Rhinolophus ferrumequinum: one gene and its partners. The protein of the gene in region 1 interacts with the protein of each later gene in a pairwise test. Links are inferred from orthologs where the notes say so. Each region holds a gene or a part of one and is shown in the gene's direction. Other genes may lie near its edges.

What was found.
Region 2: the proteins of CLK2 (region 1) and PRPF38A interact in binary tests that used the Homo sapiens proteins (3 or more experiments, as listed by UniProt). The link is inferred for Rhinolophus ferrumequinum from reciprocal best matches to the Homo sapiens genes CLK2 and PRPF38A.
Region 3: the proteins of CLK2 (region 1) and YTHDC1 interact in binary tests that used the Homo sapiens proteins (3 or more experiments, as listed by UniProt). The two-hybrid records come from large-scale screens. The link is inferred for Rhinolophus ferrumequinum from reciprocal best matches to the Homo sapiens genes CLK2 and YTHDC1.
Region 4: the proteins of CLK2 (region 1) and ECE1 interact in binary tests that used the Homo sapiens proteins (3 or more experiments, as listed by UniProt). The two-hybrid records come from large-scale screens. The link is inferred for Rhinolophus ferrumequinum from reciprocal best matches to the Homo sapiens genes CLK2 and ECE1.

The regions. Positions count from the first base shown.
Region 1 is NC_046305.1:290,581-298,937, reverse strand, and holds the start of CLK2 (dual specificity protein kinase CLK2), read left to right. Parts: upstream 1-5,324; 5' UTR 5,325-5,623; intron 5,624-7,207; coding exon 7,208-7,377; intron 7,378-8,053; coding exon 8,054-8,282; intron 8,283-8,357. Other genes in the region: HCN3 (potassium/sodium hyperpolarization-activated cyclic nucleotide-gated channel 3), read right to left, coding at 1-250, 3,218-3,501. UniProt on the Homo sapiens protein: Dual specificity kinase acting on both serine/threonine and tyrosine-containing substrates. Phosphorylates serine- and arginine-rich (SR) proteins of the spliceosomal complex.
Region 2 is NC_046292.1:37,402,039-37,409,511, forward strand, and holds the start of PRPF38A (pre-mRNA-splicing factor 38A), read left to right. Parts: upstream 1-4,065; 5' UTR 4,066-4,251; coding exon 4,252-4,381; exon of another isoform or gene 4,382-4,466; intron 4,467-6,718; coding exon 6,719-6,878; intron 6,879-7,473. UniProt on the Homo sapiens protein: Involved in pre-mRNA splicing as a component of the spliceosome.
Region 3 is NC_046288.1:27,395,285-27,403,528, forward strand, and holds the start of YTHDC1 (YTH domain-containing protein 1), read left to right. Parts: upstream 1-5,060; 5' UTR 5,061-5,165; coding exon 5,166-5,193; intron 5,194-8,244. UniProt on the Homo sapiens protein: Regulator of alternative splicing that specifically recognizes and binds N6-methyladenosine (m6A)-containing RNAs.
Region 4 is NC_046292.1:14,414,582-14,422,429, reverse strand, and holds the start of ECE1 (endothelin-converting enzyme 1), read left to right. Parts: upstream 1-4,757; coding exon 4,758-4,886; intron 4,887-7,848. UniProt on the Homo sapiens protein: Converts big endothelin-1 to endothelin-1.

The DNA.
Region 1 (8,357 bases):
GTCCACCAGGAACCAGGTGCGCAGGTAGCGGGTGCGGATGGCCTGCGGTGCCAGCAGGATCTCGGCGCCCTCCTCCACCACGATGCCCGTGCGGAAGTTGAGCACCAGATCCAGCAGGAAGAAAGTGTCAGACAGGACGTTGAAGACGATCCAAGGCGGGGAGTTCTCCTCCTTGAAGAAGGTGATACCCACGGGTAGCACGATGAGGTTCCCCACCATCAACAGGAGCATGACCAGGTCCCAGTAAAACCTAAAGTGGGTGTGGAACGGGGAGTGAGACCACAGTGATGTTTCACCAGCCACTAGACTGACAGCAGATCCTCTGCCCTGGCCAAGACGGGCAAAGATACAGGATACGGGACTGACCACTTACAGCTGCTGGGAGTGGACATTGGACCACCATTTGGGAAAACAGTTTGGTATTATCTCGTAAAGATAAACATTGTACTCCCAGCAATTCCATTCTCTGGAGGAGGTATATACCGGAATAGCAGTGTTAAATCCAGAAACAACCTGAGTGTCCGTCAGTAGGAAACTGTAGATAAATGAGATAAATGCATCTGATCTTTTCATGCCCCTGTATATATACTACGCAACTGTGAAAGCATCCAACTGCAGCCACGTGCCACAGTATGTATGAATCTCACATATTTAATGTTGAGCAAAAGAAGCAAGAAACAAAAGCATACACATCGCATGATGTCACTTGTACAAAGTTCAAAAGCAGCCCAACTCAAGTGCATAACTTAGGGAGTCACAGAAAAATGGTAAAACTATAAAGAAGAGTAAGAAAAGGAGTACCATAAAAGTTATAATAGTAGGTGTGGGAAAGGAATGTGAAGGCAGTAGGGAGCTTATAGGGTACCGCTCTTGACCTAGATAGTTGTTACATTGTTGAGAGTGTGCTTTAGAATTACTCTTTCAAATATATATATATATATATTTACATAATATATATGTTTCAAATATAATGTATATACATAATATATATATAAAACATATCTCAATCATATGGTCCACTATATACTATACCACTCTCTCCATATCTACTATATACATATATAGATAGATAGATAGATACACACTATGTATCTATATATATATATATATATATCTACTACATATCTGTTATGTATAGAATATTATCTATACCCTTAATATATACATATATATCTTCTTAATATATATGTAATATCCTTACTATATATGTGATATATGTCACTATTATTAAATATTTTTAAAGTTAAAAATCAAGTTCCCTGTGCTAATCTCACGGGGTTGTTGAAAAAATATGCACTGAGACAATGGCTGTGACAGTTCTGTACAAGCACTAGCTGGTGGTGTGACTCACCCACTCTATTCCAAGACTCCTCAAGAGGTTGTTGCCCCCCCATCTCAGCTATCTGCCCATTCCTGGTGTAGTACTTCACCCTCTCCCCAGCCTTCCCCACCCCCACCCACCTCCCCAAGACAGTCGGACCCATGGTTCTTGTTTCTCTGCTGGGATCTGCTCTACTGTGTCCCAGGCTGGGGGTGGTCTGTCCTGCCTCCCATCTAAACTGAGCTTTTCAGGGATGCTGCACCCCACTCCACAGAACCTCAGACAGGACTGCCCGTGGAGAAGCTCCATAGGAGATCCTGCGGCCCCTGGGCTTGAAGTTCCACCCTCCTCTCCTCCCCTGACCTCCCTGTGCCCACTGACTCTGAGCCCAGGCAAGGGCATGAGCAGGGGAGAGCCACACTGCTGTGGTGGAAGCTGTGGAAAGAACAGGTCAGGAAGGAGCTAGGTGAAGCCCTCATTCAGAACAAACAAACAAACAAACAAAAAACACCGGACAATTTGAGGGTCCCAATTAACTATGATGGTTTTATTTCCAGGACAAAGCTAAGCACATCATTGACCCAGCACCCAGCCCCTCTGACTGTAAAATCAATTCTTTCAGCCCCCGAAAGAAGCTTGGTGGTCCCCAAGTCCAGGCCTCCAGACAGCCCCTCAGAGTAAGTGCTTTCAATCAACCAAAAAAAAAAAAAAATCCTCGACCCCCTCTTCCTCCCCCGCCTGGGCCACTGGAGAAATCCTGTACTGTGAGCTGGGAGAGGAGCGGGAAAGAGGGTTCTCCCAGCCATAGAGCAACTTCACTGCCAGCTCACAGGCAGGCACAAGCCCGGCGGGTGATGCAGTGGGGAGGACAGATAATGAAGCACCATAATAAGGGAGAGACATGGCTTCTGGGGGTACAGCAGAGGGTGAAATGGGGGAGGGGAGGGAGATCCACAGGAGACTGGAAAAGGGGCATGGTGAGGGGGGAATGAGGCAGTAAAGGAGATGGGAGTGGAAGAAATAATGGGAGAAAGGAACAGTTAGGGAATGTGGAGGTTCGTGGATTCAAGACGATGTCTAGGTCTCCAATTGTATTTCCAGACTCCTGATTTCACGCCTCATCCCTTCGGCTCATTTCGCTCCCCGGGTTGGGTGCTTTACACATATCCTTGCCTCACCCAAAAGCTGTCCTTCGTTTCCCGCAAGGACAGGATTGCTCTCCTCCCCTAGCGACCTTGATGTAGAGGTACAGCCTGACGGGGACGATGAAATGGCCCTGCCCTCACCCTCAGTGCCTTTTCTCTGACAGTCACCTGGGCGGTGGCCATGCCCCCGCCTTGCTGCCTCAATCGCGGAGCCCCAGCCATGCCCCGCCGCATCCCGCCTTCAGCACCAGGGACAGCGACCAGACTGCTGTCAGAACACCCCCCTTTCCTCAGGGTCCCTCTTTTTCCCGGTAACCTGCCTTGCTGAACTAGGCAGGTGCTAGGGGTGGGAATAGGGGGTAGGGTGGGTGGAAGGTAGCGGAGCTCGGTTTCTCCACCAGGCTGACCGCGAGCCTCGGAATATGCCATGATTTCCCAGGTCCCCAGCAAGCAGTACTGGAGGACGCAAGGATCCCTAACTCCAGTAGTCCCTGTGGTCCAGGTGGAGTGCCGGGTTCCTGAAACGGGAAATCCAGGTCTCCGGCGTCTGCTTGTCCCTTCCGGCGCCCCCAGCCTGAGAAGTCATTGAGAATTCCCAGGCTAGGCTGGTGGAAGTGACTCTCTCGCCCCACCCGGGAACCCCTCGGCCGGAAATGAAGTGACCGTGGAGGGTGAGGCGGGCCCGGTCCCGGTGCCGCGGCCGTGGGGGTGGGATCTGCGTCCCCCGCCCTCCTTGCCGGGCCCCCAGTACCGGAAGTCGCTGTAGGGGTGGATAATCCAGGCCCCCGCTGACTTGACCCGCTCCTGCTCGATTTCCACTGCTCTGTGGCTACCGAACACGCGAAGGCAGAACTTGTTGACCGTGGGCTGGAGCAGCGTGCCGAGCTGCCTCCTCTTGGACTCGAGTCCGGATCCGGACCCGGGGATCGGACCCGAGGTCGCGGTCGTAGGCGCCGGGGCAACGGGAGGCACCGCCTCCAGTCCAGGGGTCGCCCGGTCGCCGGCCCCCGTCGTCGGCCGCGGCTCCGCCTCCATGACTCCCCACGGCTTACACGCTTGGCTTCTTAGATCCGGCCGCGGCCATCCGGGACCCCCGGCCCCTCCCGGAATCGGAGCCCGCGCAGCCCCGCGGGCTCGGAGCGGAGGCGTAGTTGGCTGGGAACTGCCAGCGTGCCGGGCAGAGGGGGTGTGGTGACAGATTCCCCCGCGGGCGACGGGCGGGTTGCGCTGCGCCCCCTGGCGAGGGCAGCGCGAAAGCTGGGCAGGGCAGACGGGGGCGGGGCTGTCCGAGAGCCTTCCCTGGAGGAGGCGGAGCCAATGAAGCCGGTACCGGGAGGGACTCCGGGGTAGGCGTGGCTTAGCGAATGGCGGCGGTTGTCCAAGTGCAGGAGGAGACCGCGGGTCAACGCTGCAGGAACAACGGAGAGGGCGTGGCCTAGAGTTGACGGGCTTTTATTCATAGAATGCCAGGGAGGGGGGGACGCCTTCAAATGGCGGGAAAACCGGAAGGTGGTTGTGGTTTGTGAGACCAAGGAGGGCGATGAATTGGGGACCAATAGAAGAGGTGGGGAATGGCTTTTGAGATTCTTCTTTCCCACTCTCGCTCCTGGACTTCCTGCATTCCACTTTCTTTCTCTCCACACTCTAAGCATATTGCTTTCTTCTGTTCTCCACACTGCTCACCCTAGTATTTCCCTTTCCGAGTTCACTCTGCCAACCTTCAAATGCCACTCTGCCCGTCCCTGAGTGGACCCTGAGGACACAACAGTTGGTTCAGATCTCATGTGCTCTAGGAAACATAGAGACACATTTCCCAGGTAGGATCTAGCCTAGAGCTTTCTAACCACTTTTTTCACAAGGCTGCCCTTAACTGTTTACAGGCCTTTCTCTCCCACTAGACTGTGAAGCTCTAAAGAACAGGAGCCTGACACCTGGCACAGTGCGGACACATCGTGGACACTCAGTAAATGCTTGTTGAATGAACGAATGACCTGGGAAAGTGTACTTGGAGGAGGAAGTGGACTCGCCACTGTCCTCTCAGCACCTTCATTAGCCTTCCTCTTTTATTTTAGGGAACTTTTCCTAAACCATTTCTGGCTAAGTGATCTAATCTCCATCTGACAATCCTTCATCCCAGCTCCCCTGATATTCTGACTTTAACAGAGTTATCCTCAGGCTCTTTTACATTTCCCTTTCTATTTCTCAGTCCCTTCTATAGCGTCTCTAATTGCCCAGTTTGTCTTAAGGTCTTCTCTTTCCTCTTCTTTTTTTCAATGCAATAAACTTACACTTCTTATATGGTGTGTAAGTACGTAACATACCGTTCTCAAGTGATCTCCCCTTTTTCAGCATCCGATTCTATATCCCTCCATCTCAAACCGTTCCTTCACGGCCATGCCCCGACCCCACACGTGCATAGCTTTTGTTGAGGAGGAAAGGCGGGAGGCCCTCTTTGCTGTGGTTAGACAGGCGGATTGCTTTAAGAACTGGATATTTACAACCTACGTTGGGAGAAGCAGACCTCAACATCGAGCCTCAAAAGGTTTGCGGAGCGGCGACACTCCCTAAATGACAACCGTTTTTTTGAAACCTCCAAACCGATTTCAGTGAGCCAGGGAAGTCTCAGGAAAGGGGCAAAAGATCGAGAAGGGATAGAGAAGGACACGAGGCGGGGCGGAGCGGGCCTGGCGAGCCCCAGCGACTCCCTCTCCATCGCCATGAACTTCCGCCCCCGGAACCTCCTCGGCTCTCACGGGTCCACGCCCGCGAGCTAGTAGGCGAGGACGCGGTGGCGTGCGCGGCCCTGGGGGCGGAGCCCAGGGGTAACTGGGAAGCGACGCAGGACGTGCGTGCGTACGTACGTGCTCGCTCACGGTGGCGGCGGCGGATCGGAGAGGCCAGACCCGGAGACCCAGCTGGGATCGGGCCCCGGGCGGGGGCGGTGCGAGCGGCGCCCAGCGGATCCTGGGGGCGGGGACAGAGCCGGGGCGGGCGGGACTGGAGCGGAGCCCGGGCACGAGGCGGGAGGTCCCAGGGTCTCGGGTTCGGGGGGTGGAGCCGCACTTCGTCGCCGCGGGGGTGCCGGGACTCCGGCCGCAGTGCCGCCGCCATCACGGACTTCCTGTGGGACAAGCGCACGGGCCTCGCCGCCAGAACGGTGAGCGCGCGGGCTGGCGGGCCGCGGGGTCGCGCGGAAAGATGGCGACCGCGGGGCGGGCGGGGATAGGGTTGAATTGGGGGCCAGGGACCCAGGCGAGATTAGGAGAGGAGGAGGGCTGAAGACCTGCGAAGCGGTAGAGGAGAGAGGTAGGGAGTGGAGGTGGAAGAAGACCGGCTTGCCTTAGACGGATCCGGGAAAACCTATAGGAAACTTGGGAGGGACCAAAGTAGAAGGGATGATGGAGTAGGGATAGGAGTGGTTCCAGAAATGACAAGGAGCAGGATATCAAAGTTGAACCAAGGCTGGAGAGGGGCAAGACACCACCGTGTCCCTTGGAGGATATGGAAAGAGTTTGACTTCAGAAATTAGTTCTGGATTTCCTGAGTGAGAAAGGGAAACAAAAGACTTAGAAGTTGGACAAGGTTGTAGACGGGAGACGCTTTGTGGGGTTACTTTGGTGGCAGTCTGTATGTGGGGAGGTGACATTTATGTGGCTGTGCTAAGCAAGGTTGGGTTACCTGGGAGAATCTTGTGCTTGCATCTTCTTGGCTTCCTGCAAGCCCTGTTAGGCCAGGCATGAATCAAATACCAGCCTCCTCCTCAAATTGAGGAGGTTGGAAAGAAGTAGCTCCGAGTGGGAGCCAGATGCCGGAGTCATTAGCCTTTCCACAAGTAATGCTCCCTCCACCAAGACTTCTGTCTGTCCCTGGGCCTATTGCATTTCATTCGGCCCTCCTGTTCTCATCTTCCTGGATTGTGACAGTGATTTATCTTTTGATTCTTTCCCTGAAGGAAAAAAAGGATTTGTGCGCCACACCATTCCATTCCCAATAACTGGAAGGTGGCTGGCCCTTAGCCAGGTGGTGCTGATACTAATGAAAAACCAGTTATTCTGTACTTCCTAAGCACAAAAGGGGAGGGGCCAGATGGGAAGCTGTGGGAAGCTTGGGGCTGCCTGAATTAAGACCTCTCCAGGGCGGTTTGGCTGGAGATGTGAGAGGTGATTAAGACCCAGGGCCCTAGAACTTGCTTATACACTGCTGTATGTAGAATCCTGGTAAACGGGATTCCTGCCCTTAGAACCCAGATGGTCTAGTTGGGGAGGTAAAATGCACCTTTAATAACCATAAAACGTTTATTGTAACAGTGTGCACTAAAGCTTTATTCTGTAGAGTTGTGAGGAACTCCGATGGCACAGACCTGGCTTAGATTCCAGCCAAGGATGAACTATGGCAGTTGCCACCAGCTCCACCATTTCACTCGTAAGGAGCTGTGGCCCAGGCCTGCACGGCTTCATGGAGCCAAGTTGGAGGAACATCAGAGGAGGGCAGTGCACTGAGTGGGGCAGAATTAAGGGATCCAGGGGGTGAGGGGAGGCTTCCTAGCGTTTTCACCCAGAGTTAGTAGGTGAACGTATACTCCATTGAGGAGGTATTGTGGGTACAGAGGAAGACTGAGGAGGTTGGTGTGGGTGGTAAAAAGAGAGAGAAAGGCAGAAAGCGGCTTAGCACCTGAGTCCTTGGGGACACTTCTGAAAACCCCGAGCTTTCCACACTATTTCTGTTTTTCCTTCCCTTGCAGATGCCCCATCCCCGAAGGTACCACTCCTCAGAGCGAGGCAGCCGGGGGAGTTACCATGAACACTACCGGAGCCGAAAGCATAAGAGGCGAAGAAGCCGCTCGTGGTCAAGTAGCAGTGACCGGACCCGGCGGCGGCGGCGGGAGGACAGCTACCATGTCCGTTCCCGGAGGTGAGGCCTCATACTCGGCGTCCCTCGTGTAGTCGGTTTACCTGCTAAGCAGCTGGGAGAAGGGGTGCTCCCGGTGGACAACAAAAGGAGGCACATGCCCTGTGGTGTGAGAGGGCTGTCATGGAGGAAGGGTACAGTGAGGGGCCGAGGAAGCACCCAGCAGGTTTGGTTCAGGGAAGACATCCTGGACAGCATGGCATCTAAGCTGGTCTGAAAGATAAGGGAGAAACGTCCCAGACAAAGAGTAGGAGCTAGACGTGGCTAATGAGCCAATAGACGAGACAGGGAGGTCTGCATGGTTTTAATAGCTTAGTGGCATATTCAGGGGGAGCGATGGCTTAGGGACAGTTTGGAGCAAAGCTGGATGTCAGGAAAGACTCGAGAATGAGATGGCTGTTTGTTCCATTGAGTCAGTGCAGGGGTGAGGAGCACCCAAAAGGCAGTAGTTCTGCCCATGTCTTTTCAGAGGTCTTGGTGACAGGCAAGGGGTGAGTCGTCCTCGTGCTTAGTTCCTTCGCATCTGTCATCCTTGGTCCTGTCGGAGTGACGTGTTGAGTGTCTGAGAGCCATTTTTCCAGCAGTACTTTTTGTCCTCACTGAGGGAGGACGTCGTACTTGATGTGGCAAGGAACGTGGCCTGAACAGATGCACCTAATGGGTGTTTATTGTCCAACAGCAGCTATGATGACCGTTCATCAGACCGGAGAGCATATGACCGGCGGTACTGTGGCAGCTACAGGCGCAACGACTACAGCCGGGAGCGGGCCGAGGCCTACTATGACGCGGACTACCGCCATTCCTACGAGTACCACCGGGAGAACAGCAGCTATCGCAGCCAGCGCAGCAGCCGCAGGAAGCACAGGCGGCGGAGGCGGCACAGCCGGACATTCAGCCGCTCGTCTTCGGTGAGTGCCAGCCCAGCCCTCTGTCCCCACCCCCTCCTCCAGCCCTCCGGGACCCCGGTAAGTGACAAGTGTCCT
Region 2 (7,473 bases), on another chromosome or scaffold:
CAAAATAGATGGATACAGATAAAAGATGCAAGTAATTCAAAGTACTCACTAAGCTCTGTCATTTAAAAAAAAAAATCGAAATATCAGGGAGAGTGTTTTATGGCAAGTTGGTATCTCTCAGCAAACTTTCTACAACTTTTAAATAATCTAACTGTAAGATAAATGGCCTGATTTGTCACTTTGACTATGACATTTTGTTACACTGGCACAATGATCTCATTTTTTCAAACCAAAAATTGGCATACAGAAGGACTACCTCCATATCAATAAGGTACTCACGCATCAAATACATCAAATACATACTCTCAATTCTTCTAAATCCAGATCATATTTTAGCTTAACAAAGCAGGCATCCTCCTTCAAAACCAAGTCAAGATAAAATTTAACATTCCTTTTCTAGATCATGAGCTGTGTTCAATGAAACCAGTACAGTTCCCACTCATCCTCAGGGGATACATTTAAATACCCCAGTAGATGCCTGAAATCGTGGATACTGAACCCTATGTATACTGTTTTCTCCTATACATACATACCTACGATAAAGTTTAATTTATAACTTAGGCACAGTAAGAGATTAACAACTAATCATCAAACGGAACAATTATAACAATATATTGTAATAAAAGGTATGTGACTGTGGTCTTTCTTTCAAAATAGCTGGTGACCAATCTGATAAACGGATCTGGCTAACCAGTTAGCACATATAGCATAGACAACATTGGACACAGGAACGATTCAAGTCCTGAGCGGGATAGAACAGGAGGACGGCTCAAGATTTCATCACATTACTCAGTATCATGTGCAATGTAAAACTTATGAATTTTTATTTCTGGAATTTCCCATTTAATATTTTCAGACTGCAGCTGATGCAGGTTAACAAACCTCGAAAAGCGAAACTGTGGATATGGGGGGACTACTGTGTATGCATATATGCAAAGGTGGGTGATTCACCCTAGGCTGAGCAGGCAGGGGGTATAGAAAGAAGACTATCTGGGTCTGGACTGCACAACCTGCTTCAGGCCTGCTTTTCCAAATCTCAAACAGACCAAGGCTGTTAGTGCCCTCAGACTTAGGCAATTGCCGTCCTCTCCTCTTCCTGCAAAGATTTGCAGGGATGGCTCAGGGCTCAACTGCGAGGAAAATCCTCAGAGAGGCCTTCACTGATACCCAATGGAAAGTTACCCCCCCACACTTTATACTGCCCCTCGGGATCGTGTTCCATTATACCACGTTATTATCAAAGCAATAACCACTATGTTACTTTATTTATTGTATTTCCCACATGAGAATGTTAACCTCCAAAAGAGCAGGGATCTTGGAACCTTGTCTGTCTTGTTCATAACTGTGTCCCTAGGGCCTAGGTTAGGACTTGGCTCGTAATAGGTGAATGAAAAAGTGAATGAAATGAATGTAAATAATTAGGACAATACCAAATGTGGTAAGGATGTAGAGCAGCCAGAAGTGTCATACACTGCTGCTGGCGGGCGTGTCAATTGGTAACACTACTCTGGAAAATTGGAGGTATCTATTCAAGCATACCCTATGATCCAGCAATTCCAACAGAATACACCCACAAAAAAACACATCATCAAAAAACATGAGCCAGAATGGTCATAGCAGCATTATAAAGCAATGAAATTAAACCAGCTACAACTGCACACAAAATGGGGAAAATCTCACAAAATAACAATGAGCTAAAAAATCAGCAAAAGAATACACACTATATTGACTCCATTTATATAAAGTTCAAAAAGAGGTAGAAGTAAACTCTGGTGTTAGCAGTGAGAATAGAAGGTAACCAAGGTAACTGAAAAGGTGCACAGTTGGGGACGCGGGGTGCATTTGAGATGCTGGTCATGTTATTTCTTGAACTAGATGGTAGTTACATAGGTATGTTCTTTTTAAGAAAACTCACTGACATGCTATTTCTAAAACTGGCAGATTAGCTCAGAGATTATAAAGTAAAAAATTTAAACAATTAAAAAATGCATTGAGCTACACATTTCTGATTTGTGTACTTTTCTGTATGTATGTTAAAGTTCAAAAAATTAATCAGGAGTCCTTCTGAAGCGGCAGCATATGGAAATCATAGTAGATGTCAGGCCTCTTTGTATTGTTTTTCACTTTCTTACCCTCCACCCAGCATTTCATCCCATCCACCATCAGCAGAAATAGTCCCCAAGAGGCGTGATGAGTGGGGTGGGAAGACAGACCTGATTTGGCCTAGCAAAGGCTTTGGCTTCCAGGAGATACCCACTACAGGCTCTCAGGATTGCAGATACCAGATATCTGGAACACACATACTACCCAGCCCAGGGGTCACACCCAAGAAAAACAGGTAAGGGAGTTGCAGTAAAAATAATGATAGCAGATGTTTATTGAGCCAAAACTCTTGCTAAATTTATCTCATTTAATCCTCACAATAATCCTAGAACAATGCTAGTACTTAGTACTAAGTGCACATTGGCACTCAATAATAAATATTTGCTGAATGAAAGGTAGATGCCATTATCAACTTCAAGATGATAACTTGTCCCAATGTTATACAGGATGGCACAGTCTTAATTCAACCCCTGAGCAACCAGATTCCAATGACTGCTCTTAACCACTTCATCTTATGTTACAGTATATAATGTTAAATATATGCCTGAGAGAACTTGCTTCTGGTGTGCTTATTATAATAATTCAGGCTTTCCAGACACTGACTGAGGGAACAAATGGGTCTCCATTTCCTTACCCATAAAGTGAGATAATAACAGAAACTTCCTTTTATTCAACCAATATTTATTAACCTCCCGCTGTGTGCCAAACTCTGCTCTAGGATTACTGGGGATTAAGTAAAAAAATGCAAAATGGTAAATTCACTCCCACTTCCTTAATCCCTTGCTCTATTTGGAAGAGGCAGTAGGTTCTTTTTATTTTACTAATTTGATGAATGTTATTAAACTCACATATAATTCACACAAAAATTTTGCATTCATTTCAGGGGATTCATAAACCTTCTAAAGTCCACAAGCACCCAGTACCCATTTTTACAGACTATTAAAATAAAAAACTAACATATTTAATTATTGCAGGTTTACAGATGGCGCACCAGGATAAGAATCTTGCATCTTATGCCTAAACCCAGTGCTTTTTCCAACTGTCAAAACAGAAAGCCTTGGCATTCTAGGGTTAGAAAGTAGAAAAGGCGTCATTAGAGTTCTCTCCTGGAAAGGTGGAGTGGATGAGTGACCAGCAGTTAAGAGCAGCTCAACTGGAAAAAGACCTGGGTAGGAGCCCAAACCGCTCAGCCACAAAAAGCGACCTAGACCTGATCTGTCTCCAGGAGCAATTGCTACATCCGTAAAATGGGGTAATAACTTCTACAGCTCCGACTTCTCGGTGGTGCTTGCTACACTACGACTCAAAGGAGGAACAGATGCGATGCTTCACAAGGGCAATGCAGATAGAAGGGATGATTAAGATCATTACTGAGAGTCTCAGGACGCTGAAGGTGGCAATGCTCATGCTTCCATGCTGTTGGCTTCCGGCTACCCCACTGAAAAACTTGCAGTCCCTGGTGTAGCGAGAAGACTTTCAACATTCGGGATGTGGGAAAGGAACGCTCCTAATGGGCTTAGAACAGTGCCTGGCACTTAACGGTGGCTTAGTAAATATCTGCTGGATGAATCAATGACTGAGTCTACAAAGGACAACTTCCTCAGTTCCCGCGGCTCAGGTTCCCCTCCAGCCGGCCGGACGCCACACTCACCGGGCGCCGAAACTTCCTGAAGCTAGGCGCAAGCCCTCCACTTCCCACAGTCTCCGCTTCAGGAGCTCGTGGAGCTGCAGCAATTCTCACCTGCTCCAGATGGACTCCTCTTGCAGCCACCGAGCCGCACGCCGGAGCAGAAGCCGGCTCCTTGCTAGGAATGGAAAGAAGGTGGAGAGAATAAAATTTCGCGCCAAACGTCGTGGCCCCGCCCTCAGGCTGTCTCCACGTTCCGTCACCAGCCAGCCCTCCCGTCCCGCCCACCTAATAGAGTATGCATGACGTACGTACGTCAACGTGCAGCGTCCATCATTGATACCATCAGCGACGCCGTTTGCGGAAGAAAGTTCCTTACGCTGCAGCATTTCCGGTCTCAAGATGGTCGCCTAAGCTTTTAAAATGAGAGTTCTTCCGCCTTTCTCCAGTTCTGATTTTTTTTTAACGTAGATGTGACGTACTAAAGGACCCGACGGAAATAGAACTGGAGGCGTTCTAAAATGGCGAACCGCACAGTAAAGGATGCGCACAGCATCCACGGCACCAACCCTCAATATCTGGTGGAGAAGATCATTCGGACGCGAATCTATGAGTCCAAGTACTGGAAAGAGGAGTGCTTTGGGCTTACCGGTGAGTGGAAGCGCACTGACTCCCCATCGGCCGCTTTGTGGCACAGTTCTCCTGTTTGGGCGCCGACGGGACTGACCCCCTGAGGGTGAGACTGGGGGGGAATTTGTCATTCAGATTCCTGAGCGCCTACTATGTGCCTAGACTTGTGTTGGGCTTTGGGTACACAGATAATAGGGCCTTATTCCGAAAGGTGTCTCGGTTGTGTTCTTTGAATCATTTCATGTTTAATGATAACTTGGTGGGTTCCAGTGTTAAGTTCGGAAACCCGGGAAGGCATTAAACGAAAGTCAACGTGACCAGAACCAAATCCATGATCTTACTATCCCTAAACTTGGACCATCTGCAGTATTTCCATGTTCGGGTCCTAATATAATACCAGTTCTTCAGAGAAGCCTGCCAGGTAGTCTTTTCATCTTTGTTGGAATTCTGGCTCCTCTTTTTAGTAGCTCTGTTACTCCAGTGAGCCGTGGCTTCCTTGACTGTGAAACGAGTATAATAATACCTACCCCCGCCTCCCGCTCCCTCAATAATTAAATGGTGGTTCTAATAATTAAATGCAATAATGTATAAAAAGTGTTTGGTATGATTACAGGTATATATTGATAAAAAGTAGTCAGTGATCAATGGTAATGGTGGTGCTAGTTTTTTTTTTTTACCAGTGTTAAATACGGTATGTACTGTTACTGTTGCTGCCACCACCACGAGCTAGGATTCCATGGATGAAGCACAGTTTCTCGTTCCATAGTTCTTTCCTTGGATGATCTCCATAACATAGTTACATCCTGTACATGTAGATGCCTTCAAATTCATCTCTCCAACACAGATCTTTCCCTGAGATCTAAATCTAATTCCAAGACGTGCCAACTCAATATGTCCAAAACTGAACTCAGGACTTTTGCCTCCAACACTAGATTGTATTCTCTTGTGGTATATTTTCATTGCATTCTGTGTCTTCTTTCAACTCATCACACTTTCAGTTACTTTTTCGATGCTTTCTGCCTTGCCAGACTGTAAACTCTTTAAGAGTAATAATTGTGTCCCTCTTTTTTATCCCTCTATCTGTATCTCTAGTACTTAACACCCAGCTATAAGCTGTCAACTGTAATGTTGAATGAATTAATACAGAATTTATCCTAATTTGACGTCTAGTATATAAAAAGATTTCCCATTAATGGTAGCTAACATTTATTATTTGCTGTTTGTCATGTAAGCATTAGCATTTATTTGAATTGTCTTCTTTGATTCTCACTATAGCTCTTAAACTTTGTACCTTTATTATTTAAATTTGAACTGACAGGCCCAAAGAGAGGTGAAATGACTTGCCCTAGTTCATTTCACATAGCTAGTGTTGATTTTGACAACAACATTGAAAGGTTATTATTCCCATTCTGTAGATGAGGTTTGCTTAAGGTTATGTAGCTATTGAGTTGTTATTGTTTCTTTTTTTGAACTGAAAAAGTAGCTTTGCAGTCGATTTGACATGTTAGTAACTCCACAGGATGCTCTGATCATAAATTCTTAACTGGGCAGTTCATTGTGTGTAGTCATGCCCCAGGATTGTAACTTCTTTAGTAAAAGGTTTATCTTTGCCTGAAGCAAGCCCTGTCTATGGTTGGCATCTAGGTTAACACAGCTTTGAAATGTCAGAGTAATCCTCTTTTTGGGAGCACATAATCTTGTTAACTATTCTGTAATCCAATCATAGAGATTCCCCCACCTTGCTTTCTCCCACACTTCCTTAGTTCTAAATGTATAAAAAGAAATGTGAAACTCATTCTCCAGAGCAGTTGAGATTTTTTTTGCTTCCCAGCATATCAGTTTGGCTCAAATAAACTCTTAAACAAAAATTCTCTGCAGCTTTGGACGTTCTTATGTTGACACTTCTAATTCCTAATTTGGCAGTTTTTCCCCTACATGATGGTGACAAGTGTGGACTCTGAAGTTAGACTGCTTAGATTTAAATCCAGGACTTGCTGCTTTTTGGCTGTGGACCTTGAGCAAGTCACTTAACCTTTCTTAGCCCTCATTATCCTTAGCTGAAAACAGGGACAGTGCTGTAATTTACTTCATGGCTTATTGTGAAGATTAAATGAGATAACATGAAATGTTTAGCAGAGTACATGGCAGGTACTCAGAGTACTCCACAATGCATGATCATCTGCATTTATTATTATTACTATTAATACACACTTGTTCTCCTAATAGTAAACTGTTGATGAGTATTCACAGCACCAAACCTTGAACTAACTTCTCTCCACTTCAAACTGGGGAAATCTTAGCCCTAGTATATCTGAGATGCCACTCTATTTGTTTTTTTTGTTTGTTTGTCTTTTTTAGCTGAACTTGTAGTCGATAAAGCCATGGAGTTAAGGTTTGTGGGAGGCGTCTATGGTGGCAACATAAAACCAACTCCCTTTCTGTGTTTGACCTTGAAGATGCTTCAGATTCAACCGGAGAAGGATATTATTGTTGAGTTTATAAAAAATGAAGACTTCAAGTGAGTGAAATGTTGACTGGCTAATACAAAAGCTTCAATTTCACTAGTCCTGAATTTGGCTTTGGTTAAGAGGAGTGATAACATTGAATCTCATTTGCATAGAGAGTTCCACTCTAGGATTTTGCTGTTGAACTCTTGAATTTGTATTTTGTCTATTTTGATTGTATTGATCATCTTTACTTTCTCAGTCTTGGTAACTTTTCCCCCACAAAAAATATTTCAGTCACTGGATGCTCAAGGGTGAAGAAAACAACATAGTGGTAGGTAAGAGGGAAATTTTTGGTGTTAGATATAGGTTCATGTCCATACTCTATTACTTACTAACTATGACCTTAGAGAAGTTACTTAATTTTCTAAGCTTTATTTTCTTATTCCTGTAAAATAGAGACAGTAATATCAAGTTAGGAATGATGTGAAGGTTAAAAAGAATAGTGCTATAAATCTCACAACACAGTGTATGCTGCATAGTAAACACACCAAAATTGTGAGCTGCTCTTATTTTAACTATCCATTCTCAAGGAGTTCACAGACAAGTATAAGAAACAGACATAATAGTAGTTTACTAACGCGTTTCTCTGAAAATTAGATCTAACTG
Region 3 (8,244 bases), on another chromosome or scaffold:
GGTCTATAACTTTGTGTTTTTCATACATGATTTCTGTATGTATAAAAGAATACATTTTTTATGCTTTTAACATTTAAATAATAGCATCATACAATACATAGCAATGTGAAAATCTGAAAGCTCTTTTTTTACTTAATATTATGTTTTCTAAATCTAACCACGTTCGGACAAGTAGCTCTAGTTCATTTTTAATGCTGTATTGCATAACTGTATATGAATATAATACAAATTATCTATGCAATTCATGTTGTATTTCAGGCCTGAGTATGAATGTGTCACACTTTATTGATTTATGTATCGCTTTGTCTTACTAAGTACAACTCTGTCTTGTTTACTATAGTTTTATAATAAGTCTTTTTTTTTTTCCAAGTCAAGTTGTCCTTTCAATCTTAATTGTGGAGGGTGCCATTCAGCTTCAAGTTGTTGTCCTTTCAGTCTTAGTTGTGGAGGGTGCAGCTCAGCTCCAGGTCCAGTTGCCATTGCTAGTTGCAGGGGGCGCAGCCCACCATCCCTTGTGGGAGTTGAACCGGCAATGCAATCTTGTGGTTGAGAGGACTCGTTCCAACCAACTGAGCCATCCGGGAGCTCAGCGGCAGCTCAGCTCAAGGGGCTGTGTTCAATTTTAGTTGCAGGGGGTGTTGCCCACCATCCCTTGCGGGAATCGAACTGGCAACCTTGTGGTTGAGAGCCCAGTGGCCCATGTGGAATCGAACCGGCAGCCTTCAGAGTTAGGAGCACCGAGCTCTAACCGCCTGAGCCATGGGGCCGGCCCTATAATAAGTCTTGAAATCAGGTAGTGCTAGTCCTCCAAAATTGTTTTGGTTTTCAAAATTGTTTTGGTTATCCTAGGTCGTTTTCATTTCCCCACAAACTTAAATTCACCTTGTCAATTTCTATAAGAAAGGCCACTGTGATTTCAATTGGAATTGCTTTGAATCTGTATGTCAGTTTAGGGAGAACTGACATCAATACTGAGTTCTCAATGCATGATGAGTAAGTATCTCTATTTAGGTCTTCTTTGATTTCTCTCAACATTGTTTTGTAGTTTTCAGTATATTTAAGTATTTTTTTATGCTGTTGTAAATGTTTTAAAATTTCATTTCAAACTGTTGGTTGCTATATTTAGAAGTACAATTGATTTTTACATACGACATTGTGTGTTAGGTATCTATTACTGTGTAACAACACACGCCTAAATTTAATGGCTTAAAAATAACTTTAGTATTTATGATCTCTCTCAGTTTCTGTGAGTCAAAAATTTCAGAACCACTCAGCTAGGCAGTTCTGGCTCATGACTTGCAGTCAAATGTTGATTAGGACTGTAATCACATGAAGACTGATCACTGAACTTGTGTAGATTGGATTTATGCTTTATAGGTACAGATCTGGGGAAAGCCCAAGTTGTTTCTGAAAATACAAGACTCTTCAAATTTTGTTTTCCCTGTGGATCTTACTGGGCATTGGTTTTAGTCTTTGAGTAGGTCATGATTAGACTTTACCTTAGGCCAAGGTCCTTATTCTTATGGTGTGGCCTTTCTGGTGTATCAGCTAGATATCAGGGGCTTGATGAGGTACTGATGAGGTCTCTCCTTAGAAGACCTAAATCTCCAAAGTTCTCTACCACTGCTCTTTCCCTAGCTTTGTTTGTGCTCTAGTATCTCTCTTCTAGTATCAACTTAACGGTGGCTTAAATCTGGTAATACTTTCGTGGTTCTTCCCTGCACATGGTTACCTCTGGGCACTTTTTATTTTATTTTTATTTATTTATTTAGTGAAAGGAATAAAATTATATTAATAATTCAAAACTCATCATGGCTACGAAAATTCTGTTAATCTTAATTCTGAATTTATACCATCAATTTAAAAGGAACTTCACCCTTCAGAATCTGCATTATATTTTAAAAATAATGTTGTCATGATCCCTGAAGTCTGAAGAGAATTGGCTGTACATTTTCAGTTTACCCCTCTTTACTTAGGAAATCATCTGCATCCATAACTAAGCCAACTAAGCCAATCTATCTAGAGTCATTTAATACTACATTTTCTGATTAATTTTACCAACAATAATTAGTAGAACAATCTATCTTTCCTGAACTACAGAAATGACAACAGTAGCTCCAGCTTATTGAACACTTAACTGCCTTTTTCTAACCCTTTTGTAGCAAATCTTTGAAACTAATTCCTAAATTCTCCTTTATAAAGACACTAAAGATTAGAGGTTAATTTCTCTAAGTCTTTATGCTTGTGAGTGGTAGAGCCAGAATTTGTACTGGCTCATTGTGACTGCAAAGCCTGTGCTCTTTATCACTACACAATCGTTGACTTGAATAAACCAACAAGGCTAGAGTTCAATCCATTATAACCTTGAAAACTTTTCCTTTTTATTAACATAATGAAAGAAAATCATATTTTTAAGAAGTTGTGCTGTATTTTTACGTAACTTTTGATATCAAAGATTTAAATATAGGATATTTACATTAAAGCTTATTTTCAATTACTTCTTAGTACTGATAGGATAAATATGGAATAGGGAAAACGTCATCTTAATATCACCTCTATTTTCTTGGCTGGTTTCTCTTGCTCTGCCTTACTTTAAAATTATTAAAGAAAATGTCAAATATTAAAAAAAAAAGGTAGAGAGTATGTCTATTCACATATGCATAACCCAGTTTCAAATCATGGGCAAGACTTATTTCATCTATACCCCCCCACCCATATCCTACTGCCCTCTACCAGTATATATTGAAGTAAATCCCAGATTCCGTATCATTTCACCTGTAAATATTTTAGTATCATGAAATTATAAACATTCTTTTCTAAACATAACTTATTACAACCAAAAAATTAACAATTCTTTCAAAATCATCAGACTTTCATTCATTGTTCAAAGCTTGCTGGTGTGTGTATTCATGTATCCAAATTGGTAGCCGAATAAGGGCCAGAGTATTAGTTTTGTAGCGCTGCTATAACAAAGTACCAGAAACTGGTGGCTTAAAATAGAAGTTTATTGTCTCATAGTTCTAAAAGATAGAAGTCTGAAATCAAGGTGTTGACAGTGCCGTATTTCTTCTGAAACCTATAGGGAAGAATCCTTCTCCTTGCTTGTCTAGCTTCTGGCTTTTGCTGGACCACTCCAAACTCCTTGAAGAGAGAAACCAGATACTACGCTATATGTATTTTTTTAACCCCAGAGCCTATAATAAATTTGGGACTGAAAAGGAATTTAATAAATACTAGTTGACTGAACAAAAGAGTAGAATATTATACAACGCTTTTATTGATTCAGCTTCTTCTTACCTAACCATTGAATATCAACCTGAATTGAACCATGGGCAGATACGCCACTTAGTACTCTTTTTATATGAAAACCATCTTGCCCACCACCCTTGCCCTTTCTCCCCTTCATCTAAGCCAAGTCTTTTATTTCTCAACTAGGCTTTATTTTCTGTTTTCCTTGACTCTTCTCTATCCTGTATCCCCTCCCCAGTCGGAACGACATGCCCCTAAGGGCTCCAATAATATCCTGAGCTTACTCTATATGAGGCAGTGTGTATTATCAAGTGGGTGGGGGCTGGAGCCAAATTCCCTGGGTTTGAGCCATATTACTACTACTCCTGATCTTCTGCACTTAATTTCATTATCACTTCACTTTCCCTTTATGTAAAATAAAGCTAGTAATATAGCTTAATTGGTTTTCTGGAAGATGAAATCAGATTGTGTAGGTCAAGCGCTCAAAACAGTATCTGGCCCACAGTAAACAACACAATTTTTAGCTGTTATTCTTACACAGTAATTCCTGTTACTTTGTTTCTTCCCTATGTTACACTAAAAATTCCTTAAAGGCAGAAGTATTGCCTGTTCACCCTTGAATCCTAAGCATCTGATACATAGCTGGGTTTTGTATTTACTGAAGTTTCTTATTTGTGTTCTTCCACTGCTTAAATAAATCTTTCCACTGCCTTCAGTTTGGTCTCAATTTGTTACAATGACCATCAAGGACCAAGACACTAGACTTTCTCTGAACATGTCATTTGTTTTCATATAACAATGTTACCTTTTTTCCCCTTCAAATTATATTTCCTTTATAAAGCCAGTTATGAAGTAGTGAAACAAAATTATTTTCATTCCTTTGGACAATCAACTTAAAGTTTCCTTGCAGATTTTACCATAATATGTAGTTAAGTAATTTTTGGTCACTTCAGGAGTTTCAATTTCTCAATAGTCTGTTTAAATCAACTGTGTACCCTAGAGCCCCCATAAATGTTTAAATCAAATCTGTTATGTGAATTACAAAGCCATTTTAAAATAAAGATAATTCATTTTCCCAATTAAAAACAAAACTAGTAGGTTTTTGTGACAAGTGAGCTGGTTGCATCCTGAGCTGCATCTGGGAAGGCCCGGCACACCAACTTAGAAAGCACATTTAGTACCCAGAGCCGGTAAAGTTGTGGGGTGCTGCCAAGGGACCGGGCCAGACTTGTCCTAATTAAATCTTCGATTCCCAGAACTGAATCAGGAGTCCCGCGGAGCGACAGAAAACATCTTTGCCCTGAGGCTGGAAGGTCCGCCAGTAGGTGTTTCAGGTGAGGAAACCGAGCTACCTAAACGCAGTAAACGCAGCCGATTACCCGTAAATAACTCACACAGCCTAATCTCTGGAAAGCCTTATTCCAGGGACATCCGGGCTGCAGGGGGCGGGGCGACGTCCTGACGTTATGTCACGTTCTCTTGCTTGTTCCGCTTCCCCGCCCCTCTCCGCACTGTGACGTTCCCAGGGAGGAACGAAGCGTAAACAGCGCAGGGCATTTCGGGAGCGGGAGTGTTTCACGCAGGAAGCAGGCTCCATTTTAGCGCCGCTGGCCGTTGCCATCTGTTTCCCTACCCTCCCTGTCGCCCCCTCCCGTCCCCAAGTCTCAACGGGTAGGCTGGGCCTAGGCCTCCGGAGGCTGGAGTGCAAGGAGGGAAAGGAGAAAGGGAAGGAACGGGGAGAAAAAGGGTGAGTCGCGAAAGGTGAGTGGTGGAGGCCAAGGTGCGAAGCGCGCAGCCCGGCGTACGGACTGACGGACGTGCCTGTGCTAGTGCTGCCGCGGCTGGGGCCCCCGCGCGAGTCGCGTCGGAGCGGCGACGGCGGCGGCGGCGGCAGCAGCGGAAACAGGAGAGGAGCAATGGCGGCCGACAGCCGGGAGGAGAAAGGTTAGTGCGAGGAAAGGTGACGGGCGGAGGCGGGGCTCGGCAGTGGGTCGGTGGAACCGCGGTTCTGGGTTGCGGGATGGGGGTTGGGAGGTTAGCTTCCCGACATGGAGCCGGTCCCCCACACCGAGACGCTTGAACTCATTGGAAGAGACCAGGCCTGCTCTTTCGTTCGGTCTCCATTTCACTTAACACTTCATCTAGCCTATGGTTTTTCTTTGATCCTAATTCTCCTGTTCACTTTCCGTTTAGCTGTCCTGGGCGCGGCTGAGAGAAGGCCTGTTCTGAGTTGCAGGCCCTTAGGTTTATTTCCTGGCAGGATTATGCGTATGTAATGCGTATTTTCAGCACATCCTTTTCTGTTAGGCTACATTTCAAAATCCCTTAATGCCACGATCAAAGCTGGTAGTCTAGTAAGTGAGCATATTTAAGAAGTCGTATGGATGGATTATTGATCTCGAGAAATACCTACAAATAACTTCAAGCTGTTTTTGTTATATGGGCAAAGTGGAAAGAATTGCCCCTTTGGTTCCTCGAATACTTATTTTGGAAGACATGACGTTTGAAAATAGATAATTGTATGAGTTAGGCCTGGCAAAAAAAAAAAAAAAAATCCTGGCCACTATTTTGATGGAAACACATTGTGTGTAGCTCCCAGAGAGTATAATCGGGAACAAATGGGTGTAATTTGTAGAGAGCTGGAGGGATAAAATCATGGAGAAATATAGGAAGAACTGATGTATCAGAATGGAACCTCGTGTCTTTTAAAACACCGACCTCAGACCTAGAGATGTGAATGAATGTAGGTCCTGGGTCAGTACATGTCTGGAGAATGGTGTAGGCTAGATGCTTCCTTAAGTTCTTTTCCAGCCCTAAAATGAGCATGATAGTCGTGGAAAGCTTGTATTTGATAAAGAAAAAAATGTTGCACAGTTTACTGCCCTGTATTTCACAGACCTACCTTCCCGTGTGCCTAATTAATTTGGGGTAGGGATTTGTTAAATGGGCTCTAGAGTCTAGTTGCACTAGGCCTGTGCTTTTTTCTTAAGTTTTCTCCTTAAATGTCTTCATACTTCAAATTGCTCTAGGATAGGGGCAAGTTTGGCAAGGGGAGAGGGTGGGAATGTTTTTAAGATATTGCTCCTATCTTAAAGCAGCTCAATGATTAGGTTATAGTAGTTTAATTTTTTAAATGAATTCTAAAAAAATCTGCATCCCCATTTTTTTGGAGAAATCAGAATGTGAACATAGGATTGCATGGTGTTAGTGAATAAAGGAAACTGCTTTTAATGAGTAAAGTCAGTTATTAAACTAGATAATTTTAATCAATAATAATTAGTCAACGTTTGATTGTTTCAGAGTGTACTCTTGTGAGCTTTGTGTATAGGAGTGGATGGACAGTGGTTGTGGTGGGTGAAAAACCAAATACAATGAGTAAAAGTCAGCACTCTGAAGAATTCATTGTTAAGATGAACGTAGTTATAAATCAGTAATAGGCACAGTAATGTACATTGAGGAAGGAAAGTGGGTGATGTTTTGAATATTTTGTGTTGGAAACAGATTTATTGATGATAATGCAGTTCAAATACATAAATTTTATAACTATAATTGGGGAGTAGAAATGCCACTTATTAGCAATACTTAGTATAAATTGTCAAGTGTTTGAAAGGCCTCACATTTGTGTAGTTTTTAAAAACTTGATTTCTATAATTGAACTTACATATTTTAAAACTTCTGATATAAGTGCTTATCTTTATAGTTTAGATCAAAGATTATCTAGATTACTGGGGAAGCTAGCAAATACAGTCCTACTAGAATTGCTTATTTAATTTTGGAATGGGAAGATTTCTAGAATAACTCATTTTGCAAATAAGGAAACAGGCTTGGGGTGTTTCACTTACTTGTTTGTTGTCACACAGCTAGAATAATAGCCAGAATTAGAATCAATACTTGACTCTTCCTTCTCATACTTGAACAAGAAAAAGTGGGAAGCTAAGTACTTACTGTCATCAGTTACTTTAAGAAACATTAGAAAATTATATAGATAACCCCTGCAAGAATCTTACACATGTCACATACCTTAGGTCCCTTTTAAATGATTTCATAAATGGGGTAAGATTTTGATAAGAAATGAGTTTAATTTGTAGAGATTTCCTATTAATCACCAAACAGTCAAAAGACTTTTGGTTATAAAGTCATTCGATTATCGGGCTTTGCACATTAGCTGTGTAATAAACACATTAAGTTCTATAATGGTCTGTGGTACCCATACTTATAAACTGAAGCCTATATAACTGGACAAATTGCCAGCTGCCTCTGATTCCTGTGGTGATTATTGGTCCCAGAAGTAGATTTGAAGGACATTGGAATGTTGGTGGTGGTAACTAATGTTAAATGCCATTCCCCCCCCGCCTTCAAGCTGTTGTTTCTATCTAGTTGTGTAGGACACAGCTCCCTGGCCCATGCTCGTGGTATTATGAGCCTTGCATTACCACCCCCAAGGCAGTCGGTCTTCCGTCATTGGTCGGCTGCTCACAGCAGCTGGTGGCAGCTCTAGCTGGCTGCTCTCACTGGCTGCCAACCTCTCATACGGGCCACCAGCTGCCCATGGCAGCACACGGTAGCCCATGCCGACCTCCAGCTGCTCACAGCAGCCCACCTCCAGAGAGAACTGTTGTTCACAATCTTAGCTATAAAGGGTGCAGCTCAATGGCCCATGTGGGAATCGAACCGGCGACGCGCTCCAACCACGTGAGCCACCGGGCTGCTCCAAATACAATTTTTCTATATGAGGAAAAACACATCTTTTATATTACAAACACCTTGTATGAATTTTAGGCTTTTATAAAGTTCTCTCCAAAGCATATACGTTATACTCCTATACATTATGCTCCTATACATTATAAAAGGGTAATGTATTCAAAGTGTGGATAATTATCACTTTCATAAGTAACATGTTTTCTATATTACCAAACTGAAAGCTCCAAGAGGGCCAGTAGCATGTCTGTCTTGTTCACCAGGTTCCTAGTGTACGGTAATTGTGTCTTATGCCTT
Region 4 (7,848 bases), on another chromosome or scaffold:
GGGAAGTGGCAGAGTGGGGATCTGAACTAAGGTTTGAATCTAGAGCTTTTACCTACTATATCATTGTATCCGTTAAATGTAAGTATTTAACATATAACATGAGTGTGTATTAGATAACATACAAAGATTCAACAGCTAATTAATTAATGGCACTGGAGAGGCAGGAATTGACAAGGCCGTTGGCCACAAAGGGCTGCATCCCTAAGGAGCTGAGGCTTAGAAATCAACCATGAAAATAGATCGCGAGTGTGGCCAAGAAGTCCCAGGCCTATGAGTTTCACTTCTCCAAAATTCTTTGAAGATCCCCTGCCTTGGGCAAACCAACCACAAGAAGCATCTGAGTGACTAACTCAAGACAAATAGGATCATGCCCAGGTGCCACTGGCCAGAGGCCTTCGTTGTCAGAGCCACGTGAGCGTTAATATTTCTCAGTTCTGTTCACCCCAGGCCTTTGATTTCCACAGGGTGGTGTTTCCAGAGCTGGCACCATCACACCCTCATCTGACTTTCACCACCTTCTCTGTGCAGCTGGAGGACGAGCTGTGGTTCCTCCAGTTTTGGTCTCCGCTAAGCCCTTCTCATCAACACCAGGCCCAGATTTCTCCTCCACGGCTCTGTGGGGTGGGGCAGGAGAGGGATGAGTAGATCAAGGCAGAGGCTCCCCACAAAACAGAGTTTGTCCCTGTTTCCTTGAAGCTCGTGGCCAGCTGTGGCACCCACAGCCACAAATGAGGCAATTAGGGAGCTCAGTCGCTGGCCACCCTGCCACCTCAGAGTCCCCAGATTCCATGAGGTCCCCACATGAAGAAGCAGCTCCCCCTTTCTCAGTGATCATGGGACCAGGAGGCAGGACCCAGGTTCTAGGCCCAGCTCTGCCACTTACTAGCTGTATGGCTGGGGTTCTCTGATGGCAGCATCGTGAGGTCATTAGGCAAGGAGTCACATCTCAGCTCCCTTGCTCTCTAGCCAGCCCACCTGGGGGAGCAAGGGAGGCCAGTCCTCCCTCCTCCCTAAGCCTCAGTCTTCTCATCTGTAAAGTGGAGGTGCTGATTCCCATCTCACAGGGCATCGTGGGGTCAGGAGAGATACATTTGGTTCAAGCAGCACATAGTAGGTGTTGGGTCTTCCCCCCATTCCCCTCCACTTCTGTAAAATGGAAGTGATACCTGCTGAGGCTGAGGCTCTAGGTGGGTGCGGATCCAACGAGCCGGTGAATGGAAGGCCCCGCCCCAGCTGGGGGCGGGTACAAAGATAGGGCTGCCATTGTTGCAATGCCGCTCACCTAGTGGGCCTACCATGTCTGTGCTCCCACCTAGTGAGCGCAGCCGGTTAAGCCATTCGCACACCTGAGGGGGGTTCAGTTTCATTTTGGCCGGGCAGCAGGCATTTCAGGAAGGGCCCCTCATCGTTTGTGTGCTGAAAAATAAAAGCGCTCCATCTCAGCGGACGTCTGCTTGGGAGGTATGTAAGCTTCCCTCCTCATCCGCCCACAGAGAGGCTGCCTTGGGCCTGACTCCCCCCCCCACCCCCCGCCCCACCCGCCATGGGCTTCCAGCCAGAGGAGACCCAGCCCCTGCCTGCAAGGCTCTCCCCTCTAGAGTGCTGTGTGCTTCCATAGAAGGAAGCATGGGGTTGGGGGCTGTGTGGGGGAAGCGCAGAGCAAGGGACCAGACGCCACCTAGGGTCAGGGAAAGATGGTCAGGAGAGCTTCCCAGGAGGGGTGACCTCTGAAATGAGAGGAGGAGGAACCACTGCTTCACCGCCCCTGGGCAAGTTACTTCCCCTGTCTCAATTTCAGGTTCTGTGAAAGGGGCCAGTCATACCTGCTTCAGAGGGAAGGGCAGGAGGCTTAAATGAGCTGATGGGTGTAAAAGAACTTACAAATAATACCTCACACTCCTAGGTGTCTAGGAAATAGGACCTGCTGTGCCAGGCTGGGGAGATGCTTCTTTGTCAAGGGTCTTTTTCTTGGGTGGTTGACACCTGTTACTTAGTATAACCAAGTGTCTTGGTTTCAGATAAAGCCCAGCTGTAACCGAGCGTGAAGTGAAGAAGCCTGGGAACCCTTTCTCTTTCGGGTGGGTAATGGGAACTCCACCCAGCGGGAGGGAGGCAGAAGACTCCAGAATTAAAATTCTTGCCATAGTTCTCTGCCTCCCGGGAGACCTGTGCCCCTTACACCTTTGTCCTAGGGCATTGCAAAGCTAGATGCACAAGAATTTAAAGGTACTGCCCCAGAGTAATTGTCACTTCCCTCCACTTGTTCCACCATTCATTTTACCTGTCTTTTGAGCATCTGTAGTATGCTAAGTGATGGGAATTCTCTGTGCCAGACAAGGTCCCAGCCCTGATAAAGCTCACGATTCGGGGGGTCGAGGGGGTTGGGGGAGAGTAGGTAAATGTAAAAACAAAAAAAAAAACATAACAGACTGCAGTAAATACTATAAAGGGAAAAATGGGGTGCTGTAATAGAGAATTTGAGAGGTTACTAAGGTAGTCGGGACATTTGAAGAGATGACATTTAAGCTGAGATCGGAAGCAGAAGCTGGCCATGGGAATAGCAGAGATAGGAAAGTATGTTCCAGATAGAACAGCACTATAAAGGTCTGGGTGGTGGGCAGGAGAAACTTGTAGCATCTGAGGAACAGAGTGAGGGCGAAACAAGTTGGGGTCTAAGTGAGTGGGGGGGACACAAGATGAGGGTCAGGATGAGCAGGGGCAATGGGGGACTGGTAAAGGGACTGTCCCTGTAGAGGTTTTAAGCAAGGGAGCAGCAAGATCAGAATTTCCTTTTTCAAGGCTCACTGTGGCTGCTGAGAAGGCGAAGAGGGCAGGAGCGGAAGCCAGGAGCTGTCCCTGTGGCTGTGACCCTGGAAAGTCACCTCTCCTCTCTGAGTCTGTTGCTTCACACATGTGTGTTGTGAGAATCAAATATGGGAATGAACAGATGTGCACTTTGGAAAGTTGGGGGAAAAAATGTATAAAGGCAGGAGATTCCAGGTCTCACTAGAAGTGGAGGGTCCTTTGGGGAACTGTTGAGTTAGGGTCTTGGGTGGAAGAGAGAGTGCTGGGCATCCAGAGTCCCTGCCTGAGCACTCCACTCCACATCTGGAGAGAGCCCACTTTTTCAGCCCAGGTCACAGGGCCCCTAAGAGGTCTCGGGGGCTGGGGAATGGGTGCTGGAGGCTCTTGACTCCAGAGAGGGAAGGGTTACCTGGTCTTTGACCAACTCTGAAGCTGAAGCCAGGGTTTTTGTATTTGTTTTGCCCTTTCTTCTGCCTCCACCCCCACTCCGGTTCAAGCCGTTGTTTCTCAGTCTAATTGTGTAGGACACAGCTCCCTGGCCCATGCTGGTATTGTGAGCCTTGTGCTCCCTCCCTGGCTGAGGCAGTCTGTTGCCAGTCCCCAGTCGGCTGCTCACGGCAGCTCTCGCTGGTTGCCGGCCGCTCACACTGGCTGCCGGCCATTCACACTGGCTGCCGGCCATTCAGGGCAACACATGGCAGCCCACGGTAGCCCACGGTTGCCCACGGTAGCCCACGGTAGCCCATGGTAACCCACAGCAGCACAGGCAGCACAGCTCCAGGGAGAGCTGTTGTTCATAATTTTAGCTGTAGAGGGCGCTGCTCACTGGCCCATGTGGGAATCCAACTGGTCACCCCAGCGTTAGAAGCCCCGCGCTCCAAGCACCTGAGTCATTGGGCGAGCCCTGAAGCCAGGGTTCTTAATACTGTGTTTCCCCAAAAATAAGGTCTAGCCAGACAATCAGCTCTAATGCGTCTTTTGGAGCAAAAATTAATATAAGACCAGGTATTACCAGGTATACTATAATGTAATACCGGGTCTTATATTAATTTTTGCTCCAAAAGACGCATTAGAGCTGATTGTCTGGCTAGGTCTTACTTTCGGGGGAAACACGGTATTTTGGGAGGAGAGTCACACCTTTGAGCCTGGAGGCAAGCATGGGATTCCCCTCCAGCCACCCAAATGCACACACACTATTTTTTCATTCTAGGTCAGAGGAATTCTGGAGTTTTCTGAAATCATTCATGAACTCTGGCTTAAAGACCCCTGGGCTAGAGGAAGGGGGAAATGAGAGGAGAGACACCTGCCTTTTTTATTTTATCTCTTTTCACCCCAATCTTTGTAGCTCAAACGGCCCTTGACACACCTAAGGGCCACTGGAGGGAAGATCCTGTCGAGTGTTGTGGCACCTTCCTGACACCTGACTCTTGGTATCTGCCATTGAAGATAACTGAAGGGGGACTTCAGGTTTCCTAGGAGAGGTTGCAGCGAAGCCCCTTCCTGTCCCCTTAGGGGCTGGCCGTGGTGGGGCCTCTCCCTCTGGGAAAGGGAGGCCTACCTCCCACACCTTGGGGGGTCTCCCGGTGAAGCCAGGGAGGGAACCGGAGACACGCGCTGATCAGGCCCCACCCGCAAAGGTGGCGTGATGCCGGCGGGACCGCAGCCCAGCCCGCCCGGATCAGCTGGGTGCGCCGTAGCCCCCGCAAGGGTAGGGACCCAGGCGTCGGGAACCCAGGCGATGCGGGGTGCAGCATGCCGAATGTGTGGCCGCAGTGCTGTCGGCGCTGGGGGTGAGGCAGGGTTGCATAAGCGCAGAGGGGGCGGGGGAGGCGGGACCCCCCTCCCTCGCGGCGGGCTGGTCGGTGGGCCGGTCTCGGTGTCCCGGGCGGGGCGCCGCAGCGGCGGTGGTGGTGGCTGCGCCCGGGCCGCTTCCCCATTCGGGCACGAGAGCCATGGAGGCGCTGAGGGAGTCCGTGCTGTGCTTGGCGTTGCAGATGTCGACCTACAAGCGGGCCACGCTGGACGAGGAAGACCTGGTGGACTCGCTCTCCGAGGGTGACGGGTACCCAAACGGCCTGCAGGTAGGAGCCCTGGCCCTCTGTGAGACCCTGGCCCGGGTTGGAAGGCGAGGGAGTACCGGGCATGCGCGCTGGTGCTGCTCCCGCCCTTGCCTCCGCCTCCATCCTGCCAGCCCCGGAGGGGTCTGTACCAGCCCGCAGCTCTGGACTGCCCTGGGCTACCCAGGGAAGAAACCTTTCTGGAGCACAAGTGTTGCTGAGGCTCTGAGCTCCCGGACTGGCCTCCCCTCACCAGCCCTGCCCGTACCCACTCCCCAAATCCTCCCGACCACCTGTTCATGGGGCTACAGCCTTGGGGACAGAATTGAAACACACACCTTCCCCACCTCTCCAGAGCTGAGCTGGTCCAGTTCCCTTTTCACAGAAGAGGCAGTCGCTAAGCAGTGAGGGACTTGCCCTGGGTTGCACAGCCCATTACTAGCAGCGTCTAAAACTGCCCATTTTTAGCATAAAAACTGCTTCCCTGTAGCCCCTTCAGTCCTGGGCCTACTGGGTGGTTGGTCACCCTATCTAGTAGGCATTACCCTATTCTTCCTCTTTCCCTGCATTTTCTGGAGGCAGGCAGTCCTCCTCTGCCCCCTTTTCCTGCTACTTTTCAGCCTACTCAGAAAGTCCAGTTGTTCTCCTCCCAGGGTCTGCCCCTGGGGGAAGCCAATCAGCCCACCACCTTCCTGCCTTGTGGCACCACAGTGAGCACTGCTGCTTTCTGCTCTTCTCTCCCTGTGGGACTGAATGGGGCCAGTTCTGACCAGGACCTCCGCCAGAGTGGGGTTGGAACCCAGGCAGATGGGTAGGTGCGAGTTGGAAGCGTCAAGGACACCCAAGGGGACCCCGAAATCTGGCTCCTGAGAAACCAGTATAGAGAGAGGAGCCAGGGCATCTCAGCTCAGGAGGCCTTCTGCCAGGCTGACCAAGGGAGGCACTGGGGAGAATTGGGGCTACCCAGTGAACTGACACCAAATCACAGCTCATCCAGAGAGCAAGTTTATAGTATGTGGAAACTCAGGCTGCCAGACCCAAACCCTACTCAGGCACACCTATTTGAAGCTGGAATAATAATACTAATAAGGGGAGATAGCACTGATTGAGTCCTTCCAGGCTAATTAAGTAGTCCCAGGGAGATCAGAACTCATGACCCCAGTGGTCTGCCCGCTGGCATATGGCACCCTTCCCACTTAACCTTCAGAACCACCCCAGGAGCTGTAGGGGTTACTGCTCTCACTTACAGGTGAGGAAACAGAGGCTCTGAAAGGGGAGACAACTCGCCGTAGGTCACAGAGCTAGAAACTGGGGAGTGAGCAATCAAACCCAGTCTGTGTAGAACCTCTTCCCTGCGGACCCTTCTTAAGAAGCTAAATCCAACAGGAAATGAGATTTCTGTGGCAGGCATTTTTCCCTTCACAAATCAAAACAGCATCTAATCAGCAATCTTTCTCAGTCTCATCTTCCACAGAAGGTTCTAAATATATCCGCACAAAAGCATTTGGAATTCACAACAAAATACTGTGCCATGCTGTCATCATAATAGCAGCCCACATGGATATAGCCTTTTCAGGTGACCAGGTACCTTCTTCATCCAGCTGAGGCAGCTCAGTCCCTGAAGCCAGGGGCCCAAGTTTGAATTCTGACTCCACTCAAGGTCTTCCGGCAGGCTAGCTGCTTAATCTCTTTAAACCACAATTCCCTCACATGTAAAATGGGAGTTAGCGAAATGGGGTGTAATGCATTTTACAGGGCCTCTGTGATTGTTGTTTTTATGACCTATGAGGTAAGGGCCCCTGTGGCCATATTACAGACAAGGAAGCTGAATCTTAGGTTAGGGACATTCCTGTGGTCACAGAGCTGTCATGTTGGTTGGAGTGCAGTGTTGGGGCCATTTCACCAAACGACCAAACTGAGTCCATTGTCCACTTTTTATACAGGAAATGCCACCTTGGGGCACATCTGTGGGTACCCAGCCTGGCTTGCTTGAGCCGCCACAACTTTCCCAAAGCAGCTGTGAACTAGCCAATGCTTGTTCTAAGAGTCGAGAACCCATCCACTTCCACTTACAAAGCAGAGTTTTCTAGTATTTTTATGTTTTTAATCATTGATGTTTTTATTCCCAATGTAAAAATTTTACATGCTCATTTGTGGGGGGAAAAAGAGTCCAATATAAAAAAAGATTTAAAAAGAAATAGTAATCTAAATGCTCGGAGATAAGTACTTTTAGTTTTTCCCACTTGCATGTATATGTTTTTAAACAGATGAGCTCACTCTAAGGACACGATGTTATACGTCCTGCTCTTTTCATTTAATGCCACTTCATAAGCATTTTTCTATGTTGTTAAAAACTTCCAAAACATGCTGCCATTAAACATTATAACACTTCATGGTACAATATGTAAAAATATATTTACTCAATCAGCTATCATTAGATAATAGGCCCAATAACTGGAACATTATGGGTGACCATCTTTTAGCCTTTTGGATAATTTCCTATGATTTGGATGCTAGAAACAAAACTGCTTCCTCAATTTTAGGCTTTTAAGAATGGACCTAGTCCCCCAAATCTCCCTCTCTCAGACAGCTATAAAAATTAGCGACTTGATTTTTCAAGACTTGGGAGCCCAGTGGTTCTAGGAACTCCGGTTATCGGTACCAACACTAGTCAATGAAAACACCCTTCTTTCAGCCAAACTTGTCACCTTTCTTACTGACAAAGTGCGGAATTTAGTTGGAACAAAGTTCTACCTGCTCCTCACCTGAAAGCGTTTTTCTTTTTCTTTGTCTCATGTTTTAGGCACAAGTTCATTGTCATTCACCAAAATTAGTCAGTGTGGACTGAGCACAGAATTTAAAGCCAGATAGCTCTAACACGGAGCCCCCGCTTTGCCTCTGATGGGCTCTCAGACCTGAAAGCAACTCACTTAAATAGCTTTTTTTTGGGGGGGGTGTAAAATGGGGTTCATATTATTAATCCACC